Linked DNA regions of Rattus norvegicus. The protein of the gene in region 5 interacts with the protein of the main gene of each other region in a pairwise test. Links are inferred from orthologs where the notes say so. Each region holds a gene or a part of one and is shown on either strand. Other genes may lie near its edges. The genes, in order: Synj2bp, Cnnm3, Fam110a, Exoc8, Ushbp1, Ccdc146 and Prc1.

What was found.
Region 1: the proteins of Ushbp1 (region 5) and Synj2bp interact in binary tests that used the Homo sapiens proteins (3 or more experiments, as listed by UniProt). The two-hybrid records come from large-scale screens. The link is inferred for Rattus norvegicus from reciprocal best matches to the Homo sapiens genes USHBP1 and SYNJ2BP.
Region 2: the proteins of Ushbp1 (region 5) and Cnnm3 interact in binary tests that used the Homo sapiens proteins (3 or more experiments, as listed by UniProt). The two-hybrid records come from large-scale screens. The link is inferred for Rattus norvegicus from reciprocal best matches to the Homo sapiens genes USHBP1 and CNNM3.
Region 3: the proteins of Ushbp1 (region 5) and Fam110a interact in binary tests that used the Homo sapiens proteins (3 or more experiments, as listed by UniProt). The two-hybrid records come from large-scale screens. The link is inferred for Rattus norvegicus from reciprocal best matches to the Homo sapiens genes USHBP1 and FAM110A.
Region 4: the proteins of Ushbp1 (region 5) and Exoc8 interact in binary tests that used the Homo sapiens proteins (3 or more experiments, as listed by UniProt). The two-hybrid records come from large-scale screens. The link is inferred for Rattus norvegicus from reciprocal best matches to the Homo sapiens genes USHBP1 and EXOC8.
Region 6: the proteins of Ushbp1 (region 5) and Ccdc146 interact in binary tests that used the Homo sapiens proteins (3 or more experiments, as listed by UniProt). The two-hybrid records come from large-scale screens. The link is inferred for Rattus norvegicus from reciprocal best matches to the Homo sapiens genes USHBP1 and CCDC146.
Region 7: the proteins of Ushbp1 (region 5) and Prc1 interact in a two-hybrid assay, tested with the Homo sapiens proteins (2 studies listed by BioGRID and IntAct). The link is inferred for Rattus norvegicus from reciprocal best matches to the Homo sapiens genes USHBP1 and PRC1.

Annotation. Positions count from the first base shown.
Region 1 is NC_086024.1:106,934,395-106,938,253, reverse strand, and holds part of Synj2bp (synaptojanin-2-binding protein), read left to right. Parts: intron 1-196; coding exon 197-333; intron 334-3,859. UniProt on the Homo sapiens protein: Regulates endocytosis of activin type 2 receptor kinases through the Ral/RALBP1-dependent pathway and may be involved in suppression of activin-induced signal transduction.
Region 2 is NC_086027.1:46,257,564-46,261,422, forward strand, and holds part of Cnnm3 (metal transporter CNNM3 precursor), read left to right. Parts: intron 1-1,074; coding exon 1,075-1,218; intron 1,219-2,172; coding exon 2,173-2,322; intron 2,323-2,447; coding exon of another isoform or gene 2,448-2,533; exon of another isoform or gene 2,534-2,635; coding exon 2,636-2,805; intron 2,806-2,934; coding exon 2,935-3,031; intron 3,032-3,305; coding exon 3,306-3,439; intron 3,440-3,789; coding exon 3,790-3,859. UniProt on the Homo sapiens protein: Probable metal transporter.
Region 3 is NC_086021.1:160,942,269-160,946,885, reverse strand, and holds the start of Fam110a (protein FAM110A), read left to right. Parts: upstream 1-1,480; 5' UTR 1,481-1,674; exon of another isoform or gene 1,675-3,924; intron 3,925-4,617.
Region 4 is NC_086037.1:69,751,925-69,756,359, reverse strand, and holds Exoc8 (exocyst complex component 8), read left to right. Parts: upstream 1-1,483; 5' UTR 1,484-1,637; coding exon 1,638-3,788; 3' UTR 3,789-3,973; downstream 3,974-4,435. Other genes in the region: DNA-dependent metalloprotease SPRTN, read right to left, coding at 187-286, 887-1,107. UniProt on the Homo sapiens protein: Component of the exocyst complex involved in the docking of exocytic vesicles with fusion sites on the plasma membrane.
Region 5 is NC_086034.1:18,095,099-18,098,957, reverse strand, and holds part of Ushbp1 (harmonin-binding protein USHBP1), read left to right. Parts: intron 1-413; coding exon 414-539; intron 540-1,910; coding exon 1,911-2,044; intron 2,045-2,183; coding exon 2,184-2,324; intron 2,325-2,640; coding exon 2,641-2,805; intron 2,806-3,859.
Region 6 is NC_086022.1:14,673,771-14,677,629, reverse strand, and holds part of Ccdc146 (coiled-coil domain-containing protein 146), read right to left. Parts: intron 1,297-3,859; coding exon 1,208-1,296; intron 1,102-1,207; coding exon 937-1,101; intron 1-936. UniProt on the Homo sapiens protein: Essential for sperm flagellum biogenesis and male fertility.
Region 7 is NC_086019.1:143,665,850-143,669,708, forward strand, and holds part of Prc1 (protein regulator of cytokinesis 1), read left to right. Parts: intron 1-308; coding exon 309-431; intron 432-3,686; coding exon 3,687-3,859. UniProt on the Homo sapiens protein: Key regulator of cytokinesis that cross-links antiparrallel microtubules at an average distance of 35 nM. Essential for controlling the spatiotemporal formation of the midzone and successful cytokinesis.

The DNA.
Region 1 (3,859 bases), on a different chromosome or scaffold from region 5:
GGTTCAAATGAGCAATCTAGGTACTTTCGGCCTTTGTTCATAATGACTCACTGACTGTCCATGACTGTGTTTTAGCTTACCTCACGGTCTGAATTGTCAGTCTCTCCTCCCCACTAGACCATTTTCCTCTCCTTTCTTCTCTAATCTTTCTTTCTTCTTCATCCCTCTCTCCTTCACTCCTCCATGATTTTCTCAGGGCTGGGCTTCAACATCGTCGGTGGGACAGATCAACAGTATGTCTCCAATGACAGTGGCATCTACGTCAGCCGCATCAAAGAGGATGGGGCTGCGGCCCGGGATGGGCGGCTCCAGGAGGGTGATAAGATCCTCTCGGTGAGAAATGGCTTCGGCTCCCTTTGTTATACTTTGCTTCCTAGACCATATCTGACTCCTTCTGTGGCCTGCCTTTTTGGAAATGAAAATATTTAGATTATATCATTGAATAGGAAGAACATCAATCAGTCGTCCAACTTTACCACTAGGCTGGGAGGATAGTATTATTCTTGCTTGACAGGCCAGGCAAATTTGACGTAGTTCAAAAAGCACAAAGCAGGTAGGGGTGAAGGACTGGCTAGGAGGAAGGAGATTTAAGGTCCATCCACACTTTTCAAGTTTCTCTTGATAATTTTATCACTTCTCTTTTGTTGACTAAAACACTGAATTGTGCCTTTTCTTGGGAGACTGTCAGCCCTTAATAATGGTCTGAACTTTAAAAAGCAAGGTAAGGATTAAGTTTCTGCTTCCTTACCCATTATTAAGCCTTATAAATGAAGAACAGTTTGGATATCTGTCAATCGTGTTCTCATTTCATCCTGTTAATGTATCTTATGACATAGTAATCATGAATCTTACTATTTTTATGTATTTAATAATAGGAATTAATATTTTTTAGCTTTCCATATCTTAGTATAGTGCTCAACATAGGCTTAATAAATGAGCAAATCAGAAAATTAATTTAAAATAGAAAGGTTGACTAACAAATACAGTCATATGGGCTCATAGACCCTTTAAATTTTTTATTATTTTAAGTGTGTGTGTGTGTGTGTGTGTGTGTGTGTGTGTGTGTGTGTGTGTAGGTAGGTAGGTAGGTAGGTATGTGTGTTTGTAGGGTAAAATGTACACATGAGTGCTGGTGTCATGGAAGCCAGAGGCATGGGATCCTCCTGGAGCAAGAGTTACAGGAAGTTATGAGCTGCCTCATGTGGTTGCTGAAAACTGAACTTGCGTCCTCAGAAAGGTTGGTGCATGATTTCAACAGCTGAGCCCTCTCCTCAGCCCCAGACCTTTAGTCTCTCAGTCAGTTGAATCTTTCTAAAGTAAATCAGAATCCAGGTGTAATAAGACTTTTAAAACTCTTACATGTGGCTGTATTTTTTTAATTTCTGTTCTATCTCACTGGCAACAGTGTCATTAATTATACCATCATTTTTGGGCATTTGGGAATGGTTAGACCATGCTATAAAATCTTACAAATCAATTTTTTTGTGCTATTGTAGCTCAGCTTATTTTTACGAAAATAACACACATGATTGGTGTAAGGAATGGGACTTGCTATCTAGGATTCCCCGTGAGTTAGACTTTCTTCTAAGGGCTGTGCTCAAGTTAAAAGGAATTCGAAGAAGGGTGGGACTTTTCCCTGCAGAAGTGCTTCCAGTTTCCACATGTGCTGTGGATTGTGGCTCATGGTCTAAGAAAAAGCAATTATTTCCTACTTTGTCTTATAAAACTGAATAGGGCAAGAGGGCCAAACCGGTAAAAGGCTGAAGTAAGTGAATGAAGTGTAGATCAAGACAAAATTTGATTAAGAGTTAAGGATTATGTCAGATACTTGATTTAGAACTTCCACAAAATAGGACTATGTCTTTTAAAGATTTTATTTTAGTTTTGTTTTGTATTTTCTCTTTTGAGTTGCCTCTCAGAGTTCAGCTGATTAGTGATAAAAGCCATAGAGTTTAGTTGATTAGTAATAAACGTTGTATGTGTGAAGCCTTCGGATCCTTTCAGAGACCAGCTTGTGGGTACTTCTCTGCCATCCAACCCATTTGGTAGCAGTATGTGAAGGCAGAGATACAGATGAAAGATAAGAGTGTCTCCCTTTCTTTCATTTGACATGTGAGTAGTATTTGAGAGATCCTTAGGAAGACACACCACCAAGCATGGTGGCACACACCCATACAGTCCTCTAGTACTCAGGAAGTAGAGGCAGGAACGTTTGTGTTTAAGTTGTGAATTAGTTAGCAAGATCTTATTTCAAGAGAGAAATACACATAAATCAGAGAAGTAGCCATGAAACCATGCAAGTTAATTCAAGAATCTGAAGAATGTGTCTGACATACAAGTATAACACTGTGGATGGTGCTGTGTTAGTTCCTCTCACTGTTGGCCATGCTGCCACCTACTAAGCTTCATCTAAGCCCTCTCCATTAGTCTACAAGATAGGGAAACTTAAACGCCTTTGATATGAAAATGCTGACGAGGAATTTAGGAGTAGGTCTTTTCTACCTCTCTTAGAAGAAAGACATTGTAAAACTGCAAACCGAGTTTGCAATAGGACAGAAAGAAAAATTGTTAGTGGGTTGTTAAAATAAAAGTATAATGTGTCACAATATCTCAGAGCACTAGCACCTATACTCGAGTAAAAAAAGACTTGAAAAATAGTGGGTTTAGTATGGGGCTGAAGAGACAGCTATATTGTTAAAAAAAAGCTTTAAAGATGGATTATCTAAAAAAAATTATGAACAATTTATATGCACAAAACAGAACCTTCAGTGTAAAGCTGTTTAATATTAGGGTAGTGCTGTGAAATGAGTATAATCATGCCCATTTTGCAGCTAAGAAAACTGAGGCTTGATGAAGTCAGGTGGTTTACAAGTCATACAACTAGTGTTGGTAAACTAAAACTTTAACCTGTCTGAATTTGAATTACTTACTAATACTAATGCTAATACTAAAATTAACACTATATTGTCTTCCTAAAAGGTAAATGAGTAAGTAAGATTAATTACTCTAAAAAGGAAGTAAATAACTAGTAGATGATAGACATGGCCTTAGAGAAAACTGAAATTAACCTTTCTACCAAGGGTAGAATTAATGGTATAAGTCAGAATTTAAGAGAATGTATTAGATATAAGCTAGGACAAGGAACCTTATGTGGTCCATTTTCCCTAGAGAAACAAAATTACTAGGAGGTCTCAAGAGTTAAGAAAAGCCTTTGGTCCTGTGACAGCTCGTTTCCCCAATGTAGGGGAACGCCAGGGCGTGGTGGTGGGAGTGTGTGGGTGGGAGTGGGAGCGTCCTCATAGGAGCAGGGCAGGGAGGGGGGATGGGAAAGGGGGGGAAAGGGGATAAGATTTGAAATGTAAATACATAAAATATCCAAGAAAAAAAGTTTAAAAATTTCTTTGTTTTAAATTATAAAAAAGAGTTGAGAAAGAACCGGAGATTAGTGGTGGGTGGGTGGTAGAGAGAAATGTTAATGAAGAGGAAGGTAGATATCTAAAACCAATAGCTCATCTAGCTTTAAAACTTACAGCATGTGGGTATAAAATTAACTCAAATAAATCAGTTGCCTTCCTCTATACAAAAGAGAAACAAGCCGAGAAAGAAATTAGGGAAACGACACCCTTCATAATAGACCCAAATAATATAAAGTACCTCGGTGTGACTTTAACAAGCAAGTAAAAGATCTGTACAATAAGAACTTCAAGACACTGAAGAAGGAAATTGAAGAAGACCTCAGAAGATGGAAAGATCTCCCATGCTCATGGATTGGCAGGATTAATATAGTAAAAATGGCCATTTTACCAAAAGCGATCTACAGATTCAATGCAATCCCCATCAAAATACCAATCCAATTCTT
Region 2 (3,859 bases), on a different chromosome or scaffold from region 5:
GGAAGGATTAGGAGTAAGCTCTCTACTCAGCCTCTGTCTTCACCAGCTTGAGGTTTGGTTTACTCTTGTCTGTCATGGTGCTGAGTTGACTGAGACCTCAGTTCTGAAAGGCGTGTTGGCATGTGATTTTTCTCAGTGTGTACACGTACATGATGACTTTAGAAGAGAGCAAAGGGGCTTGAAGCACAGGTCAATGCTGGCAATAGTGAGAAACCACGAGGCCCTGGTTTCTGTGCTCAGCAGAGGGAGAGAGCATGCGTGTGCGCATGAGAGCGTGTGCGCGAGCGCGCGCGCGCACACACACACACACACACACACACACACACACACACACACACACACAGAGCATGCATCATGATGGGTCTTCCAGCTTCCAAATAACTGCAGTGCATTTGAGCCTGTTAATGAAAATGAGAACTCTAGGGCCTTTGGTCTGGTTGTTTCAGCACGGCAGTCATTACCTGCCGTGGTTCTGTGGAGCTGGCCAAGCCAGATTGTATATCTGCCCTGGGGAGTATTCAGTCCTGTCTAGTGGGGACACAATGTTAATCCCTAGAGCCTCCCTGCTTTCTGTTCCCCTGCTGCCTTGGAAAGGCCTTCTGTCCCTTTGCACGCACCTTGTCTTAGGTTCGCATGGCTGGGAGCTTCCTTCCCCTGCTTACTGATTGATCCCGGCGCAGCAGGCCCCAGAATCGTGAGCCTTTTTCAAGGAAGTCCAGGAGCACAGGAGAGGTTAATCCTTCCTGTTAGTAGTACCCAAAGGGACTCACTCTTGCAAGGAGGGAGCTGAGTGGAGGCCTCTCTGAGTGGCCTTGGGGTTTGAAAATTCAAAACTCAAATGCTGCACTTGTGGCCTTTCCTGCCTGGCCTCATGAGTTTGTATCCCATGGCAGATCAGCCCTTGTGGAAATGGCACCTGCCTGCTAGCTTGGACCAGCGCCAGCACTAGCAGCAAGGACTAGAAAGAATTTAGAAACCCGGTAGGCACTCCGATCCGACCCAGTGCCCCTGACTCAGCAGACTGAGCAGTTGTCAGGGGTCCCTGCAGGCTGCAAATAAGTATCCCTCCTACAGGCAAGTCCCACCTGGCCATCGTTCAGAAGGTGAACAATGAGGGCGAGGGCGATCCCTTCTATGAGGTGCTGGGCCTGGTCACCCTGGAGGACGTCATCGAGGAGATCATCAGGTCTGAGATCCTGGATGAGTCTGAAGACTACTGTGAGTTTGACAACTGCTTTTCTCTCAAAGCCCTTCCAGTAGCCTGAAGGGCGTCTCCGTCAGAGGCCTGTGGGTCTTAATGCTGCTGAAAACTGGTTGGAGCTCCAGCCAGACCAGACCTCCCCTGCCCTGGTATGGGCTAGTGTTGTCCCTCTATACAAGCCAGGCAGACCAACCTGAGGTTGAATTTTGTGACCCTCTGTGAACAGAGGGCTCTGCAGACAGCCCTCCATCACTGGAAGAAGCTTCTGCTGTTGGCAGGCCTATGCCTTCTGCCTTTGCCAGCCCACATTCGCTCCTTGATACACTCTTTGAATTGGATTTGAAGCTCAGTAGTAGAGTATTCATCTAGCCTGAATGGAGCTGAATTTGATCACCTTCAACACACAGGTTTTAAAAGACCATCCACATGCCTTTAATCCTAGCCAAGCAATGGCAGGTGAGTCTCTCAAATTCCCAGCCAACCCGGGCTACATAATAGACCTTGTCTCCAAAACAAACAAACAAATTATTCACTACCAAGCAGGTTGTGGGACCTTCTGTAGCTGGAGCCTCACGTAGCCACTTTGGACCCTGCACTGCCATGTCTGTGCTTTCAGTTCTGTACCTGGGCTGATGCAGGTCACCAGGGTAGCCGCTGCCCTGGTATGGTGAAGCCCTTAGGTGCTGCGGGTGATGGTCAAGCACGTATTCCCTTCTGTGGTCCTCACAGCAGGAGAGCCAGGCTTCCTCTTGGGCGTGGCCCCAATGTGAGCTGTCGCCTCCTCTGTCCTGGGCACTAGGATTACTGTCTTGAAGGAAGCAGTTCCAAGGTTGTGTCTGTAGGGTCCTGGCAATATCCTCCCTGAAATCCCTGAACCCTGGGAAGAAGGGGATAGGCAGCCGAAGCATTTGTCTGTCTGTGTTCATGGTTGGGTGCTGACAGCCACTCACGCCATCTGTTCACTACCCCAGCAGACACAAAGGTGAAGAAGAAGGCCGTCACCCTGGGCGCCCCTCTCAAGCGGAAGGAGGAATTCTCCTTATTCAAGGTGTCTGATGATGAATATAAAGTAAAAATCTCGCCTCAGCTGCTCCTGGCCACCCAGCGCTTCCTTTCCCGAGGTGAGGGTGAAGGGTGGTCCTTGGCCCCCGGTCTCACCACCCAGAGGGTCAAGAAACCACCCAGGCCAGACACCAGGCTCCTAGCGAGCTGGAGGCTCTGGACGAGCATCTGCTTCCCTCTGCAGAGCTAGTGGTGTGTCCTGGTAAGGCGTGTTCTGGGAACCTCATCTGGCTCATGCATATGTCCTCTTGGCTCTCTTGTGTGGATTGATTGCCGCAGCCCAGGGGCCACTGGGAGAGCCCAGGAGGCAGGTGTGATGACAGGCCATTTGGGCCCCAGTGGACACTGTCCCTTTCTCCCACCGTGGGGCAGAGGTGGATGTGTTCAGCCCATTGCGAATCTCTGAGAAAGTCTTGCTGCACCTGCTGAAGCATCCCAGTGTCAACCAGGAGGTGAAGTTTGACGAGAGCAACCGCTTGGCCACACACCATTATTTGTACCAGCGCAGCCAGCCAGTAGATTACTTCATTCTCATCCTGCAGGTAACTCTGGTTGCCCAGGCCTGAAGCCTGAGAGAGTGATGCAGACATACACCCTTAAACACTGAGGGCTTCTCTGTATTCTCTCCTGTGATGGGGGAAATAACCTGTCCACCCCCGTCGTCTTCTCAGGGCAGGGTCGAGGTGGAAATCGGGAAAGAGGGCCTGAAGTTCGAGAACGGGGCCTTCACATACTATGGCGTGTCCGCCCTGACAGCTCCATCTTCAGGTAAGCCGTGGCTTTGGAACCCTCAACTCTGGTGCTGCGGCAGGTCTGGGTCTGCCCACAGCAAGCTGCCCGTCACTAGGTAGTGTAGGGCAGAGCTGCTGCATTTCTGCCTTGTTTATCTCGGTTGCTCACTCGATCCCTGCAAACGCTCCAGGGTGGCTCCCCCACCTTCCATGTTCCCGCTGTCCCCTCTCAAAGGTGACTTGATGGGTAGGTCTGAGGGCTGTGCTGTTGTTCTGTTGGCGTCCACCGCCTTTTACTATTTCTTCCGTAGCTCATCAGTCCCCAGTGTCTTCACGCCAGCTCATCCGCCATGACTTGCAGCCTGAACCAGCGGACAGTACCCGCTCCTGCACGTACTGTCCTGACTACACTGTGAGGGCCCTTTCTGACCTGCAGCTCATTAAGGTGACTGTCTGGGCTGCGTATTGGTGCTCCTTCAACTGCCTTTGTGCCCCCAAGGGGCTAGTCTAGCTGGTCAGTGTAAGGACGGAAAGTGAACTCTGCTTGAGAAGGTGTGCTCACACCCTAAGTGGTGGGGCCTCCTGTGACCCTGGATGTTGGGACCTGGGCCTGTGTGGAAACCTTACATCTGCTCTCTCTATTGGTGATCCTAACACTAGGCCCAAAACCAAAACCCCTTTGCCTTTCACCAGTTTAAAGTCCCGCCTGTCAGAGGCCAGAGGCGGGAACCCTGCTGTCTGTCTGTCTGTCTGTCTACATCTGCTAGGTAATCTCTCCATTCTCGTGTCCTCTAGGTCACACGGCTGCAGTACCTTAATGCACTCCTGGCTACCCGAGCCCAGAGCTTACCTCCATCTCCAGAGA
Region 3 (4,617 bases), on a different chromosome or scaffold from region 5:
GCCCAGTGGTGCACAGATGGGAACAAGAGTTTGTGGAGTGCTCTGCCACAAGTGTCAAATCTGTATCGAATCAAGACTTAAGGAGCGTAAGAGCCAGCGAGCAGAAAGGAACAGAGCAAAACAGACTCTTACCGGTGCTGCAGGGCCACTGTGCTTGTGAACCACAGCAGCTGTGGTTGTCTGCACAAGATCAAGCCAGTTAACATTGCAGCACAGAGACGGGAGAGGCTTATGAGCCCCTACCCTGAACTGAGGAGCTAGGAACAGCTGAATGTTTCTGGAGAAAAGAAAGTCCGTGTTTTTACAAGGTTGCAGCCCTTGACCGTTTGATCATGGTTCAGTGGATGGCCCTACTGCCACGAATAGATGGGCAGATTAGACTCGGTGGCGTATAAAAAAACAAAAAAGGAGGAAGTGAGGGTGGATGTAGGAGTTAAGGGGAGGAGGGTAAAGTAAATATGATTAAAATACATTGTGTGTGTGTATGAAATTCTCAAAGATGAATAAAAGTATAATTTAAATGTAAAAATTAGTTGGTGTTATTGTAAATGGGATAGGTTTATTACATGAAGAGCATGGTTATATATTATCTATTTGTGTTGTACGGAGTGATTTGAACTGTGTTTAAAACATGACACTTCCTTAACATTCTTCCATTGTTCTTAAATGTTATTTAACCGCATCGTTGTAAGTTACTGTATAATATTTCCAACTGGAAAGTTCAGACAATTGAAGGTAGGTACCTCGGAGCTAGGTCATGAGTACTGAGAAGAATTATGTAGAAAACTCAATTCAGCTTCTTCCCAGGACGGACTTCTATACTATAACTGATCTGGTTTTGATAAGCACCGTGGGAACTACTGATGTGTGCATTTAAAAACTGATTTATCATTGCAGTTAGGGGAACAGACAGGGAAAGAGGATTGTGGGAAAACACACAAAGAGGTAGCTGCTGAGTTGGGAGTAGGGTCCAGCTTGGTGGCTGGGCATTTAATACCAACTCATGGGTAGATGTACTGAGGCAGGCAGATATAGCAAATTTGAGACAAAAGCATGAATTTAAGGTCAGCCTGGGCAACTTAGTGAGACCCTGTCTCAAAAAGAAAAAAAAGTGAAGAGAGGGTCAGGTGTGGTATAGACCTAAAATCCTAGTATCACGGAGGCTGCGGCCAGTTATGTGTCAAGGCCCTGCCTCAAAACTCAAAAATGTTGGTACTAGGGTCTGTGCAAAACCAAACAAATTTGGGACTAGCAACCCTTGCTTGCAGCTGGAGACCGAGGAAATCCAGCTGGAAGAGGAGAAGAAAGATCTGCCAAGGCCTGGGCAGCCGGAAGGCCGAGCGACCAGCTGGGCTCAGGGCAGCAGCCGCTGGGTTGCATCTGCCGCTCCTGATGTTGCCTGGCAACCCGGCTGGCGCGCCGTTCGAACGGAAGCGACCGGCCAATCAGGAAGTCCGGGGCGAACCATTGCAGCGACGGGGACGGCGGGCTCACTTCCCTTTCCTCTGGGCCCTGGGGACGGTCTCCCGGCGGGATTGTGGGACGGCCGGGACCTCTCGCTCGGAAGAGCCGACCGGTCTCCACACGCTGTGACCTCCTCAGGTCCGCGGGGACCATCAGCTGTCAGCCTCTGCAGCCAGCGAGGAGCGGGATTCCTCCGGGCGTGGGCTGCGGGTGAGCATGGGGTAAGGGGGCGGGGGTCCTTAGGCAGTGTCCACGCATCAACCCGGGCAAGTGTTTCAGCATAGGGGGTCGACAGAGGAGAGCTCATGTCTAGTGTCCAGCCCAGGGGGGCCAGCAGAGAATCCAGGTTGTTCCACTGTCCCATCTTGCAGCCCCCGCTCCTAGCAAATCAGAGTACCCCACCGGCTTACTCTTTCAGGGGCCTATTGGGAGGACATGGCTCAGGGGATCTCCTGACTAGGCAACCCTGCCCTACCGGCCCTTGGAGTTCCCCTTCAGAATATAGTCTTTCCCTCCCCATTGGAAGCTTTCTGCCTAAAGAGTCTGGAGTTCCAGGGCTTCCCGCTTTGAGGGCCCTCCTTGGGGGGAAGGGGCGGGGCAGGGTGGATTCCCTAGGACTACAGATCCAAAGGCTCTGGAAGTCATGTGGGTCTGTGCGCGCCCGCCCGCCTGCGCTTGTATGCATTGGAGGTGCCTCTAAGCCAGAGTTGCTGGAATTGGACTTTAGAGTTGGGTGCAGGGTCAGGCCCTCCCAAGTGGAGCATCTAATTTAGGCTGTACTTTTATCTACTCTCCTGCTGTTGATCTTCTTTCGTAGGTGGGGAATCTGAGGTTCTGAGAAGTTGAGGCTCTTGCTCAAAGTCACAGACTTAACTATGCAATCGTCTTCAGTTCTTGATACAGGGAATCGCCCATTCGATGAAGGATCTCTCCTGAGGGGAACTACCCTTTCTCTGAGCCTCATTCTGGCCCTGGAGGAGCTGTGTTTGTCCATCTGTGTTTGTCCATCTGTGTTTGTGTCATGCTCCCCACCCTAACTTTTGTATGGCCCTAGCTGGCCTCATTCTTACTATTTATACCAGGCTGGTCTTGAACTCTCCATCTTCCTAAATCAGCGTCCTCTGATGACAAGCGTGTGCCACCTGCACACCAGTTTTATGCCTTTTCAGGATAGAACCCAGGGCTTGGTTTCTGCTAAGCGAGCGTCTACTAGATGAGTTATACCGCTGCCTCATTTCTTTCCACATCGTCAAGCTTCCTGTAGCCTGGTCCCTCCCTGAGTGTCCTGCTTTTCTCAGTAGCGTCTGTTCCATATTATGCACGAGGTATCTTATTAGGCGGTTTATTATCTTCCCCAGTGGAATGTGTCAGGCACGTGAGATGCTTAACACGGGCACAAATTATCAGGGTGCCCCAAACTTGCAGACTCAAGATGATCAAAGCCAACATCTGTTGGCCATTTGGTGTGTATTGTACTGGGGGGGGGGGTGGAGCAGGATAGGGTGGTGTCACTCAGGTGGACTCTGGCCAGCAGAGCCAGCATAGGCACTGTTAATACACACACACACACACACACACACACACACACACACACACACACACACACACTCACTCCCCCATCCAGCTACCTCACTCTATGCAAAATGACAGGTGCTGTGGACAGACACAGAGTGGCCATCAGTAGGGACTGATGGGAAATAATCAGAAACTCCTTAGATACTCATGCGGCACCAAGAGGAACGTGGATTACTGAGCAAAGGGTCTGGGTGGGAATTATATACACAGCACGATGGGCATCGCAGTCAATCCTAATCGTGGACTGTGGGTCAACTAATTGAGAAGCCACAGACAGTGATTACATTTGCAGAAAGTTATGAGGTCACTGCCCTACCTGTGGTTTGTCATTGGCTTTGTGAGTTTGGGCAAGTTTCTTCACATTCTGAGCTGTGAGTTCAAGCCAAGGCAGAAGGCACTGTAGGACAGGAAGTGGGTGTGGCCACAGGCCTAATTCAAGCCTCACCTTCCCTTCAGTGTCAGGCCCTTCCCTAAGGCCTTGTTTGTTAGTCTTTCTCCCTCTCTCCCTCTCTCCTTCACTGCAAGTCTGCCTTTGTTCCCATCTTGTCAGGGTGCAAACTGAGCCCCAGACTTTGTTAGTGGAGAGTGTTTGGGGGAAGGATTCATGCAGGAGCTCACTGTCCTAGGCATCCCTGCCCCTCCCATGGCGGCCCACTTGTAACTCTCTTCCTGAGATTTGTGCAAAGCTACTCTGAGCAAGGCTGACTCCTGGGCAGGCCAGGGCATGAGCCTGGTGAAAACTCCAGAAATAGCTTGGAACCTGGCCTGCCCTGGAGAATGCCCGGTCGGGTGTCTGACCTGGACAGCTGTGTTGGCTCTTCCCCACTGTCCGGAACCTTCTTGATCCTCTTCTGCAGCAGCCAGAGGCCTCCCTGGCTACCAAACCTGAGCCAGGACAGAAAAGCAGGTGGGGCGGATAAACTATCATAAAATGATCAACCCTAGAAATCTACTGGGAAGAGGGGACACACAACTGCCTGGGCTTGGAACCCTTGTCCCGGGCTGAGAACTTTACCAGTGTGAGCTCTGATTTCCCTCCACTCTGCGAAATGAGGGATTTCTGCTTTTATTTCATGGATACATATGCTACAGCAGGCACTCGAGAAGACACTTAGAGGAGTCAGTTCTCCCATTCCACTGTGGGGCCAGGGGACTGAACTCGGATCACTAGGCTTGCATGGCAAGTACTTTTACCCCAAGTCATCTCCCTCGCCCTAACTTTACCAGTCATTTCCCACTCTCACTCCCCCCCGCCCCCCGCACTGCCACCCTACCCCGTTCTGGTGTTTTGACTCTATACACAGAAGCATGCAGTCACTGTCTGCCTGGACTCAGCTTACCGTCTTCATGTTCCATTCCTACTATAGCACATCAGTCAGCTCTCCCTCTTAAAGACCGAATAGCCGACTGGACGTGTGTGGTTACGTCTCTTTACCCATTCGTTCATTGGTGGGCACTTGCATTGTGCACGCCCTCGGCTGTGGTGACTAATGACTGCTGGGGACTCCATGCGAGCGTTTCTGCCAGCATGCACACTGTGGATGAGTGTTCGAACACTGTAGGTTCTTTGAAATGAGT
Region 4 (4,435 bases), on a different chromosome or scaffold from region 5:
TAAGGAATAGAGACTGTCTCTTAAAATCAACAAAATACCCTGGACGGGAATGGTGATGCACTGTTGTAAGCCCTCAGGCAGAGACCAGAGGATCTTGTGGTTGAAGATAGTATGAGCTACTATCAAGAACACATCATTGAAAAATAAAAATCTAAATGTTGAGGAACCAGTTTATGCGAAGACTACCTCTACAAGGTCCTTTCTTGGTCTGAGTTTTAACAAGGGTTCACTGAGACGGATGGAGCACATGCCTCCTCTCCCTTCATAGGTGCAGATGCCAGCACACCTGGAAAACAGTCACGGACAATGGATTAGGTTCACCCAATGCACAAAGGAGACAGAACAAAAAACAAACCCTCGCCTGGCATGGTGGCGCAGGCCTTTCATCCTAGTCCGTGGGAGGCAGATGCAGGAGGATCTCCCAGTTCCGGGCCAGCCTGGTCTACAGAGTGAATTCCAGGGCAGCCACAGATACATAGTGAGACCCTGTCTCCAAAAAAAAAAAAAAAAAAAAAAGAGCCAGCAAATCCTTATCCTTGGGCAGTTCAACGAAAGTCCCTGATAGAGGGCTTTTTAATAACACTTGATCACCCTCACACCCTCACCCACTGTTATCCTCTCTGCTCCGCACCGGGACTTGTCACGGGGCCGATGTGAAGTTAGAAGTACGCTACGTCTCAGCCTGCTTCAGCTCAGGCTGCTATGTGACGGTGTATATGCAGGGCAGATTATTATCTAGAACAGGATTTCTCAAACTCAGTGGGTAGATGAGGGATCCTGCTGGTACATCTCTGAGAGCCGTTGGGCCACGAGGAGGGGACACACCAACGACAACTCAGCGCCCTTGCCCTTCCCTACGTTCCGAGCCGTTCGTGGGCGCACTCACAGTGTCATGCGCACACTCCACTTCACCTCCACGGCCTCCAGCTGACCCCAGAAGAAGCGATCGTTAAACTGCAGGAAGAGCGCCTGCAGGTCCGGGGTGGGGTCCACCAGCTCCCAGGACGCGTCCACCAACGATAGGGGCTCCCGCGCCGCCGCGCGCCGCGCCGCCTGCACGTCCCACTCCTCCTGCAGCCGCAGCGCGACCACCAGATCCTCGTCCATCCCGATACTCTCACTTCAGCCGCTCCCAAGACGCCGGTCGGGCTCGTGAGGCGTACGGATCTCGCGAGACCTCCCGGCCCCGCTGTCAGGGCGCGCGGGCTCGCCTCGAACGCCTAACCGAAGGTGGCTCGGCTCTGCCCCGCGGACACAGACTTAGGAACGCTGGGCTCGGGGTAGGGACGGCTTCAGGAAGCCAGTTGTCTCCAGACCGCCGCCGAGGTCCAGCGCCTCACGTCAAGTCTGGTCCGTGCCCGACCCTCCTCTGACTTCCGTACTGGCCCGTCCGCGCACGCGCCTTAAGACGCTGCCGTTTCCGCGCAGGCGCGTCGTCGACACTCCGCCCCGGGCGCAGGCGCAGTGTGAGAGTCTCGACTTTGGCACAGGCGCAATGCAGCGCTCGGCCCCGGCGCAGGCGTTTGGGTGTTGCTCCCGCCCCGCTTCCTCTACCGCTTCTCCACCGGGCTCGGGTGGGGCCGGGAGGCGGCGAGTGACAGCCACTGCGGGCCGCGGGAGCAGGGCGGGTGGCAGCCATGTCGGACAGCGGGGCGAGCCGCCTGCGGAGGCAGCTGGAGTCGGGGGGCTTCGAGGCGCGGCTGTACGTGAAGCAACTGTCGCAGCAGTCGGACGGCGACCGCGACCTGCAGGAGCACCGACAGCGGGTGCAGGCGCTGGCGGAGGAGACGGCGCAGAACCTGAAGCGCAACGTCTACCAGAACTACCGGCAGTTCATCGAGACGGCGCGCGAGATCTCCTACCTGGAGAGCGAGATGTACCAGCTGAGCCACCTGCTGACGGAGCAGAAGAGCAGTCTGGAGAGCATCCCGCTGGCACTGCTGCCCGCCGCTGCCGCGGGCGCATCCACGGGTGAGGACACGGCGGGCGCGGGACCGCGGGAGCGCGGGGCGGCCCAGGCGGGCTTTCTTCCGGGGCCGGCCGGAGTCCCTCGCGAGGGCCCCGGGACGGGAGAGGAGGGCAAGCAGCGAACGCTCACCACGCTGCTGGAGAAGGTGGAGGGCTGCAGGGACCTGCTGGAGACACCAGGTCAGTACCTTGTGTACAACGGGGACCTGGTGGAATACGAGGCAGACCATATGGCCCAGCTGCAGCGAGTGCATGGCTTCCTCATGAACGACTGTCTGCTGGTGGCCACTTGGCTACCACAACGGCGAGGCATGTACCGCTACAACGCACTCTACCCACTGGACCGCCTGGCTGTGGTCAACGTCAAAGACAATCCACCTATGAAAGACATGTTCAAGCTGCTCATGTTCCCTGAGAGCCGAATCTTTCAAGCGGAAAATGCCAAGATTAAACGCGAGTGGCTGGAAGTGCTGGAGGAAACCAAGAGGGCGCTCAGCGACAAGAGGAGACGGGAGCAGGAGGAGGCAGCCGCCTTGCGTGCGCCACCACCGGTCACTTCCAAGGGCAGCAACCCGTTTGAGGATGAGGCCGAGGAGGAACTGGCCACCCCGGAGGCAGAGGAGGAAAAGGTTGACCTTTCCATGGAGTGGATCCAGGAGTTGCCGGAAGACCTGGATGTTTGTATTGCGCAGAGGGACTTTGAGGGTGCCGTGGACTTGCTGGACAAATTAAATCACTATCTTGAAGATAAGCCCAGCCCACCTTCTGTGAAAGAGCTGAGGGCCAAAGTGGATGAACGAGTGCGACAGCTCACCGAGGTGCTTGTGTTTGAGCTCTCCCCGGATCGCTCTCTGAGAGGTGGCCCTAAGGCTACTCGAAGGGCAGTGTCTCAACTGATCCGTCTCGGCCAGTGCACTAAGGCTTGTGAGCTGTTTCTGAGGAACAGGGCGGCAGCTGTGCATACTGCCATCCGCCAGCTTCGAATTGAGGGCGCCACTCTGCTCTATATTCACAAGCTGTGCCATGTCTTCTTTACCAGCCTCCTAGAGACTGCACGGGAGTTTGAGACAGACTTTGCAGGCACGGACAGTGGCTGCTACTCTGCCTTTGTGGTCTGGGCAAGGTCTGCCATGGGCATGTTCGTGGATGCTTTCAGCAAGCAGGTTTTTGACAGCAAGGAGAGCCTGTCCACTGCTGCCGAGTGTGTGAAGGTAGCCAAGGAGCACTGCCAGCAGCTGGGAGAGATTGGGCTGGATCTCACCTTCATCATCCATGCCCTCCTGGTGAAGGACATCCAGGGGGCCTTGCTCAGTTACAAGGAGATTATCATTGAAGCCACCAAGCACCGAAACTCGGAGGAGATGTGGCGTCGGATGAACCTGATGACTCCTGAGGCCCTGGGCAAGCTCAAGGAGGAGATGAGAAGTTGCGGGGTCAGTAACTTTGAGCAGTATACGGGGGATGACTGCTGGGTGAACCTGAGCTACACTGTGGTAGCCTTCACCAAGCAGACCATGGGCTTCCTGGAGGAGGCACTGAAACTGTACTTCCCAGAGCTACACATGGTGCTCCTGGAGAGTCTGGTGGAAGTCATACTGGTTGCTGTGCAGCATGTGGACTACAGCCTGCGCTGTGAGCAGGACCCAGAGAAGAAGACTTTCATCCGGCAGAACGCATCCTTCCTTTACGACACTGTCCTCCCAGTGGTGGAGAGGAGGTTTGAGGAAGGTGTGGGGAAGCCTGCCAAGCAGCTGCAGGACCTTCGGAATGCATCGAGACTCCTGCGGGTGAATCCTGAGAGCACCACGTCTGTGGTCTGAGGCTCTGGTTCGATGCTGTGTGTGCGTCTGTCTGTCTGTCTGTCTGTCTGTCTGTATGTATGTATGTATGTCTGTACACACACATGTACTACAGATGCATTGTTTGTATTCACATTACACAATATCAACACATTCCTCAGACACAAACAGCATATAAAAGTGCCCTCTTAAAAATGCAGTCAAAAGAAGAAAGATAATGTGTTAAGTGCTCCCTCCCACATAGAGGGATTATTAGAGCACATACTGTGCTTTTTTTTTTTTTTAAACTCTTTAAGGAGTGTATGGTCACAGCAGCATTTCAGGTCACTCTTTAACCTGAAACACACTTGTCACAGTAGCACATCCTGGAACATTGCACTTCTGTGCTGCCTAGAAAAATATGCAAGTCCACAGGGTTTAAGTTGTGAAGCATTCCAGTTCAACAAAATGGCTTCTGAACGGTCATTGCTGTGTAGCGCCCCTGTGTCATGTACTCAAGAAGCAAGCCAAATTGGGAAGAAATGAGTTGGCTTGGGATAAATTTGAGTAAGTGGGCCCCAGACTCTTCAGTGTTTGTAGTGGTGTGGAAGGAGGCTTTCATAAACCACAGGCATCCAAAAGTCGGAAAACTGGCGTGTTCCATGCCTACTGCCTACTCAGACGCATCT
Region 5 (3,859 bases):
ATGACTCCGGGAAACAGTCTCCTAAAAAGTTAGAAAGGAATAAAGTGGAGGGCTAGAGAGTTGGCTCTTCGGTCTAGAGCACTGGCTGCTCTTCCAGAAGATCCAGGTTTGATTCCAAGCATCCATGTGGCAACTCTCTGTAACTCCAGTTCCCAAGGGACCTGACACCTCATACAGACATACAGGGAAAACGCCGATGCAAGTAAAATAATAAAAATAAATCCTAAAAAAATAAAATAAACTCTGCCTCCCCCATCACCCTGCCAGTAGGTGCACTCCCCTGGTTAGGCCTTGAGTGTTGAGAGCTCTGTGGCAGCTGGGAACCGTCCCAGGCCACATTGACGGGGGTTCCGGTTGCTGTAGAGAATTGGTTGAATATGTGAAGTCAAGGCCTGATCCCCTGTCACCGACAGGTACAGGAGCTGGAGGATTCCCTGATGCAGCTGGAGGCCTCCCCGCCTCCCTCCATGCTCAGAGCAGGCCGTAGAAACAGCAACTCCAGCAGTTCTGGGGCAGAAAGGAGACCCTGGGCACCTCAGGTAAGAATAAAGCCTTCTGAGTGAATGTCATGATGATCCCTGCTTTCCCAGTGTGAGGGGCAAATATCAATTTGTGCTTTATGGGATCCCATAATAAAAGACAAAACTTTTCCTGGGGAGACACTACACACATCAACTGACCACAGATAGGGAGCCCATGACACATCAAATACGGACACCACTAAAGTTCAACTTAGTGAACCAATGAGTTTTATTGGAGTTACAAATAGGATTATGGGTACACATTATGGGTATGAATATGGGTACATATAGGATTGTAGTTATGTACATGTTGATGGACAGAAATGATTCAAAGACAGCTGCATCACCAGAGTCTGAGTGACAGCATGAGTGACAACTCACTAAAACTGGGAACCTGGAGCTCACTGCAGGTTGGAAGTTGTCCCTTCTTAGTGACTCTGGTCTAAACCTCCTTCACACAGCTGGTCTTATCTCAGGGTCTTCTTTGCTTGCTTCTTTGTTCACTAATCTCAAAGGGACTTTCCTTATTTTGGCAGGGAGGGGCCTAGTCCAGTTTCTGCTCAGTTTCAGGGACTTCCTGAAACTATTTGGAGTTGTTTACCGTCCTGCTTCAGGAGCTTCTCTGTCAATACAACCTATAATATATGAAAAGAACTAAATAGGACTTGGAGCCATGGCTCAATGGTTAGGGTCCTAGCTGCTTTTATCGAATACGCAGGTTCAATTCTCTGTAGCCACATGGCAGCTCACAATCATCTGTAACTCTTGTTCTAGGAGATCTGATGCCTTCTTCAGGGCTCCACAGGCACTAGGCATGCATGTGCACAGACAGACGTGAAGGCAAACACCCATATACATAAAATTAAAAGAAAAAATAAAAAGCTTAAATTACCAGCTTGGTAGCTCAAAGCAGTCACCCCACAGTCACCCCAATTGCTTAAGAGCCTGACCAGAAGGATCATGACCAGTAAATGTGGTGACACCCTGTCTCCATATTAAAGAAAAAATAAAATCATTGATGAGATGCCTCAGCTTCTTGGGGCAACTGTTGCCAAGTCTGCTGATACAGGTTCAACCCCTGGGTCCCACAAAGTGAAAGGAGAGAACTGACTCCCATATGTTGTCCTCTGACATCCATTCACATGCCATGGTACACACACACACACACACACACACACACACAGGCATGCACGCATGCATAATACATTCCACATGTGTATGCAAATACCCTCCCCAAAACAAACCAAAGATGTTGTTGTACCTCAGTGGTGAAACAGATTGGTAATATGATCCAAGGCCCTGATTCCACCCCCAGCCCTGCAAAAAAGGGGAGAAAAACACTTCTGGGGCTTTTGATGTTAGATAAATCAAGTCATGTCTTCCTGGCAGGACTCCCCCATGGCTCACCCCTTTCTCCAACGCCTTCGGAGTGACTCCAGCACCCAGAGCTTTGGGTGCCTTTCCACACAGCGTCCATCCCCAGAGATGTACCTCATGGAAGACCAGATGGGACAGCTCCAGGGGTGAGCAGCTGAATTATAGCTGCTGAGCTTTTAAGGACACAATTTCTCCTGCCACTGGGTTGTGATTGGGAAGGGGAGAAAACAGCTCTGGGTGATTGGAGTGTCACTCACCTTCCCTGTTGCCCACCTTTGGAGGCAGGAACATTGAGAAGTTGAAGTGCTTCAACCGCCTCCTGCTGGCTGTGCTCCAGGGCTACAAGGGCCGCTGTGAGAGCCTCAGCATTAAGCTGGGCAAGAGAGAGGCTGAGGCCACAGCCCTGCACCTGGCTCTACAATATAGGTCTGTGCCTGTTTCCAGTGATGGTGGTTGCTGGGGCTGGGGTGGTGCTGCATGCCAGGATGCCTTATGTACAGAGGGACACAGGACCTTCAGACATTGCCTCACAATGACATGTTACTCTGACCCATAAAGAATGAGGGGTGGGAGGTGTCTTTTGTAGTTTGTTATATATTTATTTGAGACAGGGTTTCACTGTGTAGCCCAGGCTGGCCTGGAACTCTCTATGTACAGCAGGCTGGCCTGGAACTCACAGAGATCTGCCTATCTCTGCCTGGGTTGGGGTTGAATGTTGAAACATTTAGATCCTATCCCACAGCAAGGACTGTGAGGAGGTGTATGAGGTGCTGCTTGCTCTGAAGACAGCTGGTCTAGGAGCTGGAGTTGGAGCTACCAATGGCGACCTGCAGGCTGCTGAGAAGGAGGCCTCTAGGCTGCTGGTGAAGAAGGAAGTAGCCATGGATGTAAAGACACCCCAGCCCAGGTACCCACAGGAAGCACAAGAGTTGCTGGTCCATGAGAGTGATGGGGGGCATGTCCCAAAGCCTGCTGTACATGGGGCATTGGGGTTAGGATCATCATTCACTGCTCAGGGTTGGCTCTGCACTCATCATGTTTGGCTGATACAACGCCTGACTGGAGTCGGTTACTCAGTGGCACCAGGTGTGGTGACAGTCTTTGATCTCAGCACTCAGGAGACAGAGTTAGAGTAGTTCCAGGCTAGCCCACACAGAGTGATCCTGTCTGAAATGAATACAAAAGCAAACACACACATACACAAAGCATCAAGTAATGTAGACCCTAGCTTCAGCCTCTAAAACTGGGTAAAAAAAAATACAGGGGTTGGGGATTTAGCTCAGTGGTAGAGAGCTCGCCTAGCAAGTGCAAGGCCCTGGGTTCGGTCCCCAGCTCCGAAAAAAAGAAGAGAAAAAAATACAGTGAAGAGAAATTTATTAGGTTTATTAGCTCATGATTTCAGAGGTGTCAATCCATCATTGCAGCCAGGAAGTAAAGAGGAGGGGTACAGGAAGTAGACAGGATTTCACATAGCCCCAGAGAAAGATGGCACTCTTGACAAGTTGTGTGAACCTGGGAAGGTTATCAGTATACTTGTAAGGAACGTCTATACTAATGGCTGTGAGCTCCTGACTTAGTCTCTGTGCAGAGAGTCCTCAGTGCCAGTGCAGCCTTGGTGCCCAGTTTGAGCTGCGCACACCTCACAAGTAAATTCAAATTCCTCTAGTGGCATTATTACCATCAAGGCTCACCACCTTGCTACGTATCTGAATGTGGCCTTGAACTCCTCCTGCCTCCATCTCCTAAGAGCTGGGCTATTAATATGGTGCCAGGCATGGACCTTCACGCATGCTAGGCAAGTTCTGAGGACTGAGCTGCAAGCACTCTACTGGCTGAGCCCCAGCATCTACCATACTAGAATGCTGGAAGATTATCGGCTGGGTGTAGGTCGTGCTGTGGATGCTGTTGGTAGGCCTCAGGTAGCATAAAAGTGTGGTTCCTTAGGGCTGTGTGTTGGGAAC
Region 6 (3,859 bases), on a different chromosome or scaffold from region 5:
TTGAAATGTAAATATATAAAATATCCAAGAAAAAACAAAACAAACAAAAAAGCACACACACACACACACACACACACACACACACACACACACACACACACACACACCAGTTATTTTTTAAATGCCTTGGCAAATTCAATGACTGGGCACTCCTAAAGTTTCCTCTGCTACCATAGGTCCAAACAGGGAAGTGGCCGTTGTCCACCTACCTTAAAACTCACATGGCTATTTGGCTTTTTTTCCCCTGCTGGTACTGCAGCTCCTTCTTCTTTCCTGAACCCCCTCCCATTCTCCCTGTGTCCTATCCCTCTTCTCCCCCACCCTCCACCTCTCAGTGTACTTCCCCTTGCTCAGTCATTGGCTACTGGCAATTTTATTGGAAGATCAAAAACCAATTGATGGCAAGGACCTTCAGCATCAGAACCACCCCCTACAGCATGTATTTCCCCATCTCTGAATACTTTGTTTTCTTCCTTGACTACCGAGATGTTCTAGAGTGCCAGGGAGGACACTGACTGCAGGGAACCAAGGAGTTGGCCTGGCCTGGCTGCCTTGAGAGGCACATGTCATAGGTTTTTCAGGATAGAGTCCACGGCTCCGGGGGCACAGGGAGAGGCTGTGCGCTCCCTCAGGCAGTAAAGACACACTTTGTGTTTCTCTGTATGTTCCTTGGAGATCAAGGAAACAGGGAAATTTGACAGGACAATTGATCTTAGGCATTAACATTATATACCCTGTAAAGTTTGCAAATGTCTTTGTATCCTGGCAACTACAATTGTATTGATCCTGGAAATTGCCACTAGATTCTATTTCTGATAAATGTATAAAACATCTGATTGGCCTCAGTGTTGCTGTGGCCCCTCCAGCCGGCCTATCAGGTAACCTGGACCCCTTAAGCAAGCATGGATGCTTACAACTAGCTGTCATAACTCTTACCTTTCTTGAGAGACAGCACTGCTCCTTAAAATTTCCAGCTCGTTTAATGACATTTTGAGCCTTTCTTTTATTTCGTTTACTTTCTGATAAGCTTTGTGAAGTAAGTTAACAAACTTGTTTCTTTCATTTCTGATTGCGTCATACAAGCCGGCAAATTCTTTGAGTCTGTGAAAACATGAGGCAGTTTTTAAAAATTGAAAAGTAAGTAACACCTTTCCCCCAAACAACTAAATCATGATTCTTTTTACCAAATTCTTTCTTTTTTTTTTACCTCCGATGAATTTCACGTTTTCTCTTCCTGTATAGCCTGATTTCAAGTTTCTTTGATTTGATTTCCTTAATAATGTCGCAGTATCTTCGCTGAAATGTAAAAATTCATGTGTGAAATTCAGAAAAAAAAATAAAAAAGACAACCCAAGAACAACAACCAGAAAGCTAGGCATGATGGCCCACGTCTGTAACACCAGCATCTAGGAAACTGAGGCGGTAGGATCGTAATGAATTCAGGGTCAGCCTTGTGCTGCATAGGAAGACTCTATCTCAAAAATTCAAGACCACCACTAACAAAAGCCACAGTATAAGAGTACGCATGGAGTCTGTCAATTCTGCCTAACTTGTGTAGATGAGAGGAACAGGAGATTCCTGAGCGCTCCCTGGACAGCGGGAGTGATTCCCATCGACTACGGCTAGAGCATACTTGAGATTTCACAAGAACTGGGGAGGATAAGAGAGCCCCACAGACAGGGTGGGGGGACTACTGGGGAGGAGTGACTTAAGCCTACACCACCCAGCCAGTCTAGCACTGTGCTTACAGAGGTCAATGGAGAGGATTCACAGGAAGTTTGACCTGAACCCTCTGGCATTTTGTGAGCCACAGAGGCAATGGTTTTAAAGTGTAGTTCTGCTCATTTGTTTAGTGGGTGTGTAGTTCTGCTCATTTGTTTAGTGGGTGTATTTTCCTTTATAAGAGGCTTCATGTTGAGACCAGCTGTAAAACTATACATAAATACATTAAAAAGAAAACAGCTATACCTTCAAAAATCATATATATGTATGTATAATACATACATACTTATATATACATATGTATGTACATTCACCACTTTATACTAGTAGGCACTAGTGATGTTCTTCACATAGAAAGTGCCCTGTGGGTGTTTCTCTGGGATAGGAAGCACTTGGCGATGGAGTGTCTGTAGGCAGGAGTCCAGGGAGGAGTAGTTTCAGTCACCCTCCATCAAGGGCAGGCAAAGCAAAGTCATTTGGCCTTGTGCCGCCAAGTCAGTGTGGGTACACAGCGATTTCATTTTGTATAGTTTTCAGTGGCAATGAAAGTCCCCAGCAGGTGACCGTGCAGACAAGAAGGCTCTGGAGTAAGATGAAGCGTCACCTACGCTGTCTTGAGTGTGACAGCAACGCCAGTGTGAATCTCCACCTTGGTCACCTTATATCTCTTTTAAAAGAGAGATGTAGACATGACATAAAATAGTAAGATTTAACGCCTCTTTGTGGAAATACAGGTAACTACAAATAGTGTTTCGTACGGTAATTCCCAATAATGAAACACTCAAGGGACAAACTGTTTTCTTTTATGATGTCCATATTTCAAAAGGGAGAATTGTCCCATGTTTTAATATAAATTACCCCATTCAGTAATGAAATTCAGCTACCGTGGAGTAGTCATGCATAGATAACACATGGATCAGGTATTGGGAGCTATTAGAATGTGACTGCTTTGTAAACAGACCAGCTCTCTTCTACCTCTGGTAGACCTAACATTTCTGAGGAGAAAAGAGGGGACGTTTTCTAACTGGGAAATCTCACAGGGATGGACTCTTCCCAGCCATCAGCCGGTGCTTCTGAGAGCAGTGCTCTGGACTGACCCCGGCCCCGACCCTGACTTTGGTGGCAATGACCTTCTCAGACCTTGGCTGCTCCCCTCAGTCGTCCTCTGCTCTTCAGCTCATGTCTGCCCAGTTTCTGGAAGGCTGTGGTCTTTCTCATCTGTTTTCTACGAGCCCAATTATCCCATGGCTCCATAGGGCTCTTGTAACAGATACCAGACTGTTTGAGGTGGGTCGAATGCCCTCACCATCTTCCCTCCACGGCTCTGCTTCATCTGACCTCCGTTCTCTTAGGGTCTTACTTCTCAGGTGTGAGTGTGTCTAATTAAACAGTGAAAGTGGGGTCTGAATGGCTGGCTAATTGCTGGGGGTCTGTGTGACTAAAGTGTTCCCAGTTTTTTTGCTACAGAATCTATTTCATCAATGCTATGTAGGTGTGACCTCTTTCTAGGCAGTGAGAAAACCCCATCCCCCTGTAAGCACTCAGAACAAGAACCGAGATTACACTTATGCACAGCCCATGCCTAGGTCTCGTGACAAATGCGTAAGCTCTGCTTTAGTAATAGCTCATACCATATTCTTTTAAAAAGATTATTATCGTTTTTTTGAAACTCAATCTTACAATGTCTCTTGGGCTAAACTTTAACTTGCTGTCGTCCTGTGTCAACTGCCTCTTGATCGAGTGTCACAGACACACATACTTCTATTGTTTGTTTGGCAAGAGATCAAAGCTCGCACGGGCAAGCACTCTGGCATTGAACTGTATCCTGGCCTTTATTTACTTTAAACAAAGGACTTCTAGACACAATCCTTTTGTGGAATAACTGAGTCTAGTTTTTTTTTTTTTGTTTTGTTTTTTTGGTTCTTTTTTTCGGAGCTGGGGACCGAACCCAGGGCCTTGCGCTTCCTAGATAAGCGCTCTACCACTGAGCTAAATCCCCAGCCCCCTGAGTCTAGTTTTAAAATGTTAGCTTCTGCTGTGTGTGTGTGTGTGTGTGTGTGTGTGTGTGTGTGTGTGTGTGTGTGTGTATGTGCGCGCGCGCACGCGTGCACGCGCATGTACACGTATGCTTGCTTTA
Region 7 (3,859 bases), on a different chromosome or scaffold from region 5:
ACAACAGTGGGGATGGACATTATTGGTGGGTAACTTAGCAGGTAAAGTACCCACTGCAACTCCATGATATGAGCCTGGACCTGAGCTCAATTGCCAGAGCCCATATCTGATAGAGGGGATTGACTCCGGGGCCTTTATACTAAAGTATCACGGGCTGGTCCTGATTTTATTTAAAGCCCTTTCTGTAAAATTTGAAATTATGAGGGTTTTGATATTAATGCTAGTTGATTTTGTGGGTTTTCTGCAATGTTTTTATTGTTTTGTTCTCATTGGCTCCAAGTCTTTATCAGCTGTCTTCTCGCCTGTAGGATCTTCTGGATAAAATGATTGCTGAGGAGGAGAACCTGCGGGAAAGGCTTCTCAAGAGCATATCCATCTGTCGGAAGGAGCTGAGCACCCTGTGCAGCGAGCTACAAGTCAAGCCATTTGAGGTATGTGGCAGAACGTAGTGCTTGGGAGATTGGTTTCATTTAGGACTGCAAATCCAAAGCTTTCTTTTTTTTTTTTCGGAGCTGGGGACCGAACCCAGGGCCTTGCCCTTGCTAGGCAAGCGCACTACCACTGAGCTAAATCCCCAACCCCTAAAGCTTTCTTATAGGAGAAGGACTAGACATGAGATGTTGAAGTGAAGCAGCTAATATTAGGTTATCAAAACTCCTTGCCATTTTTCTGTTTTATAGAGCTTAATAATGTTTTTAAATTAACTTTGAGGAAAATGGAGGCACAGATGTTTGTGTGGAAAGGGCTGGGGAAACATGGAAGAAATGGGTTAGTTGGTAAAGTCCTCTCTTCACAGCTTTGAGAACTGAGTCCAGTCCTCATAGCCATGGGGAAAAGCCAGCTATGGTAGCATATGCTTGTAACCTTACTGCTGGGGGTCAGAGATAGATTGATCTCTCAAGATTAACTGGCTAGCCAGCCTAGCCTGATCCATAAGCTTCAAACCAATAAAAAAGTTATCTCCAAAAAGAAAACAAAGATAAAAAACAAGGCAGAGGGCTGGAGAAATGGCTCAGCAGTTAAGAACACTCACTCATGCACAGGGGCCAGATTCAGTCCCCAGCACACGTGGTGTCTTACAACTGTCCTGAACTCCAAGCTCCAGCACCCTCTTCTGGCCCCAGTGGGTATCAGGTCCACATGTAGCACACTTAAGACACATGCAGGAGAAAAACTTATACCCTTATAAATTTTAAAACCAATAGCAAAGTGGACAGTCCTAGGGAGTGACCCCCCAGAGTTGATCCATCTGTTCATATACGTGTCCATGCTCCCGTCCACCCTGACAGTGAGTGGGACCAGGAGGCGAGGGTACCTAGTGATAACAAAGAAAGGGAAGCAGCCAAATTCAACTGTTTTGTTCTTTTCCATGCTCGAAAGCTGCATACCCTGAACCAACCAGAATAGGACCTGAAAAGTTGGGCACAGAGGAGCAGGGAAAGGTGGTGGTGACTGGTTCTCATGTCCTGTTTACCGTAACAGGACTGACTGAGCACCGGCATCTGTAGAGGAGTAGTTCTGGCACTCAGACTGCCTTTAAAGGGGAAGGGTGATTCATCCCTGGCAGTCAAGAGCATTCAAGAGATCATGACGTCAGAGCAGTCTCTTGGAATTACCATAAATGACACTGATTTTTACATAAAGTTTCTCTTCAGTTCAGTCTTTTGTTTTTAAATTTTCAATGTCAAAATAGGTACATGAGAAATTGGTGCACACTGGTACATCTATCTTCCTTAAACATACAGCAGTTTTTAACAATTCTAAATGAAACTGTATTTATTTGTAGGACATAGAATCACTAGTCACTCTAGTTAGTCCCTTATTTATCCACTGCAGTAGAGAAGGATCTACTAAGTTGACATTGATAAGTGGTGTTCATAGGATTTTAATGTATTTCAGCTAGTAAGAACTAGATAAACCATCTCCAGCTAACCAAGCCTTTTCTGGTCGTTGTACCCTCTTACAAAGTCCCCTAGTACCTAAGACAGTCAGATTCATAGAGCCGAGAAGTGGAGTGGACTGGAGTGGGTGGGAGCATAAAGGAGGACCTTTTGCCAAATGAGCAGTTGAGTTTTGCAAGAAGAAATGAGTTCTGGAGGTGAGTGACTGTAGGATTGCACAGCAGTATTCACAATTGCTTCTTCACTTAGACCACATCCTCATAAAGCCACCATACATTTTTTTTAATTGTACAGTTAAGTTATGGGAAATTGTAGTTTACACTTGGTTGTTGTACACATTGCACAAAACACCTTAACCTAGAGTTTGGCCCCATCGTACACACACGTTTAACCTGTGGATTAATACAGAATTGTAATCTAAACCACTGTGGATGCAGTTCAGCCTTAGGGGGTCTTACTAGCGTCATGTCCTAGTTTTAGTCTCTGGTATTGGCCAGCAAGATGAGTCAGTGGGTGATTGTCATAAAAACCAGAGGGCCTGAGTTCAGTCCCCAGAAGCCATGTGAAATGCCATTCTGTTACTGTCCTATGCATGTCATGGCAACCCTTCACCACACACACACATGTGCTACGAGAGCTTTGGGGTTTTTTGGTTTGTTTTGGTTTTGCTTTTTAGTTTGTTTGACTTTTTTGAGACAGGGTTTCTCTGTGTAGCCCTGGCTGTCCTGGAACTCATTCTGTAGACCAGGCTGGCTTCAAACTCAGGTCCACCTGCCTCTGCCTACCAAGTGCTGGGATTATAGGTGTGCACGGGTCAGAGAACATCTTACAGGAGTTGTTTCTTTCCTTTACCCTGTGGGCTGTGAGGAGCAGATTGTCAGGCTTGACAGCAAACCTTTACCCTCCAAGCCATCTTGACAGCCTGTCCTCAGGTATGAACTACGTAGACGTCAATTTTGTGTCATACTGTCAAAGGTTGCATACACATGATTTTGGTTGGTGTGACAGTGCAGGCCTGTATACTCGGCATGTGGAAACCAGACAGGAGGATACCAAATTCAAGGCCAGTGAGACCATCTCAGAAAAGAAAAAGTATTTTCTTTTTTGTTTGTGTAATTTTAGTACTGTATGAAAGTGAAAAACTGTGGTTGAATTAGTACCTGAAATATAGATTGTGCTGAGTGTGTATTGCCTTTGTCCCATTGTAAAGATGAAATGTCATGGAATAAATCTATTGCTAAGTTATAGACCACTGCTATACACTGACAAACTGCAAAGATTTGTATGTAGGGTGATAATTGGGCATTTTGCCATTGTTATAATTTGATCCTCTTTTTTTTTTTTTCCCCAGAGCTGGGGACCGAACTCAGGGCCTTGCGCTTGCTAGGCAAGTGCTCTACCACTGAGCTAAATCCCTAACCCTTCATTTTGCCATTGTTAAAGAAAAAAAATTGGAAAAGGAAGTTGGGCATAGGACCCATGCCAATAACCTGAGCCCCTGAGACAGGAGGTGCAAAGATCAGGACTTTGAGATCTTTCTTGGCCACATACTACAAGTCAAGAGAAAGAAAAACAGACTTTCCCTGCTAGAAACCCTAGGTGACCCTCTTTCGGTCAAGACTAGGCTGGCCTTGAACTCTGAGATCCCCCTGCCTCTACCTCCCAAGAGCGAGGATTAAAGTGTGCATAGCCACGCCAGCTTGAAGTGCTTGCTTTGTCAATCGCTGTTTCTCTTAGTGCTTCCCATCCTTGGCTTTTATTATTAATAATCATGTCGTTTCACAGGAAGATAAAGAAATAACTGTCTTGCAATTAGAAAAAGATTTGCGCACTCAAGTAGAATTGATGAGAAAACAGAAAAAGGAGAGAAAGCAGGAACTTAAGCTACTTCAAGAACAAGATCAAGAGCTCCGTGAAATTCTGTGTATGCCTCCCTGTGATGTAGACAGCACCTCTGT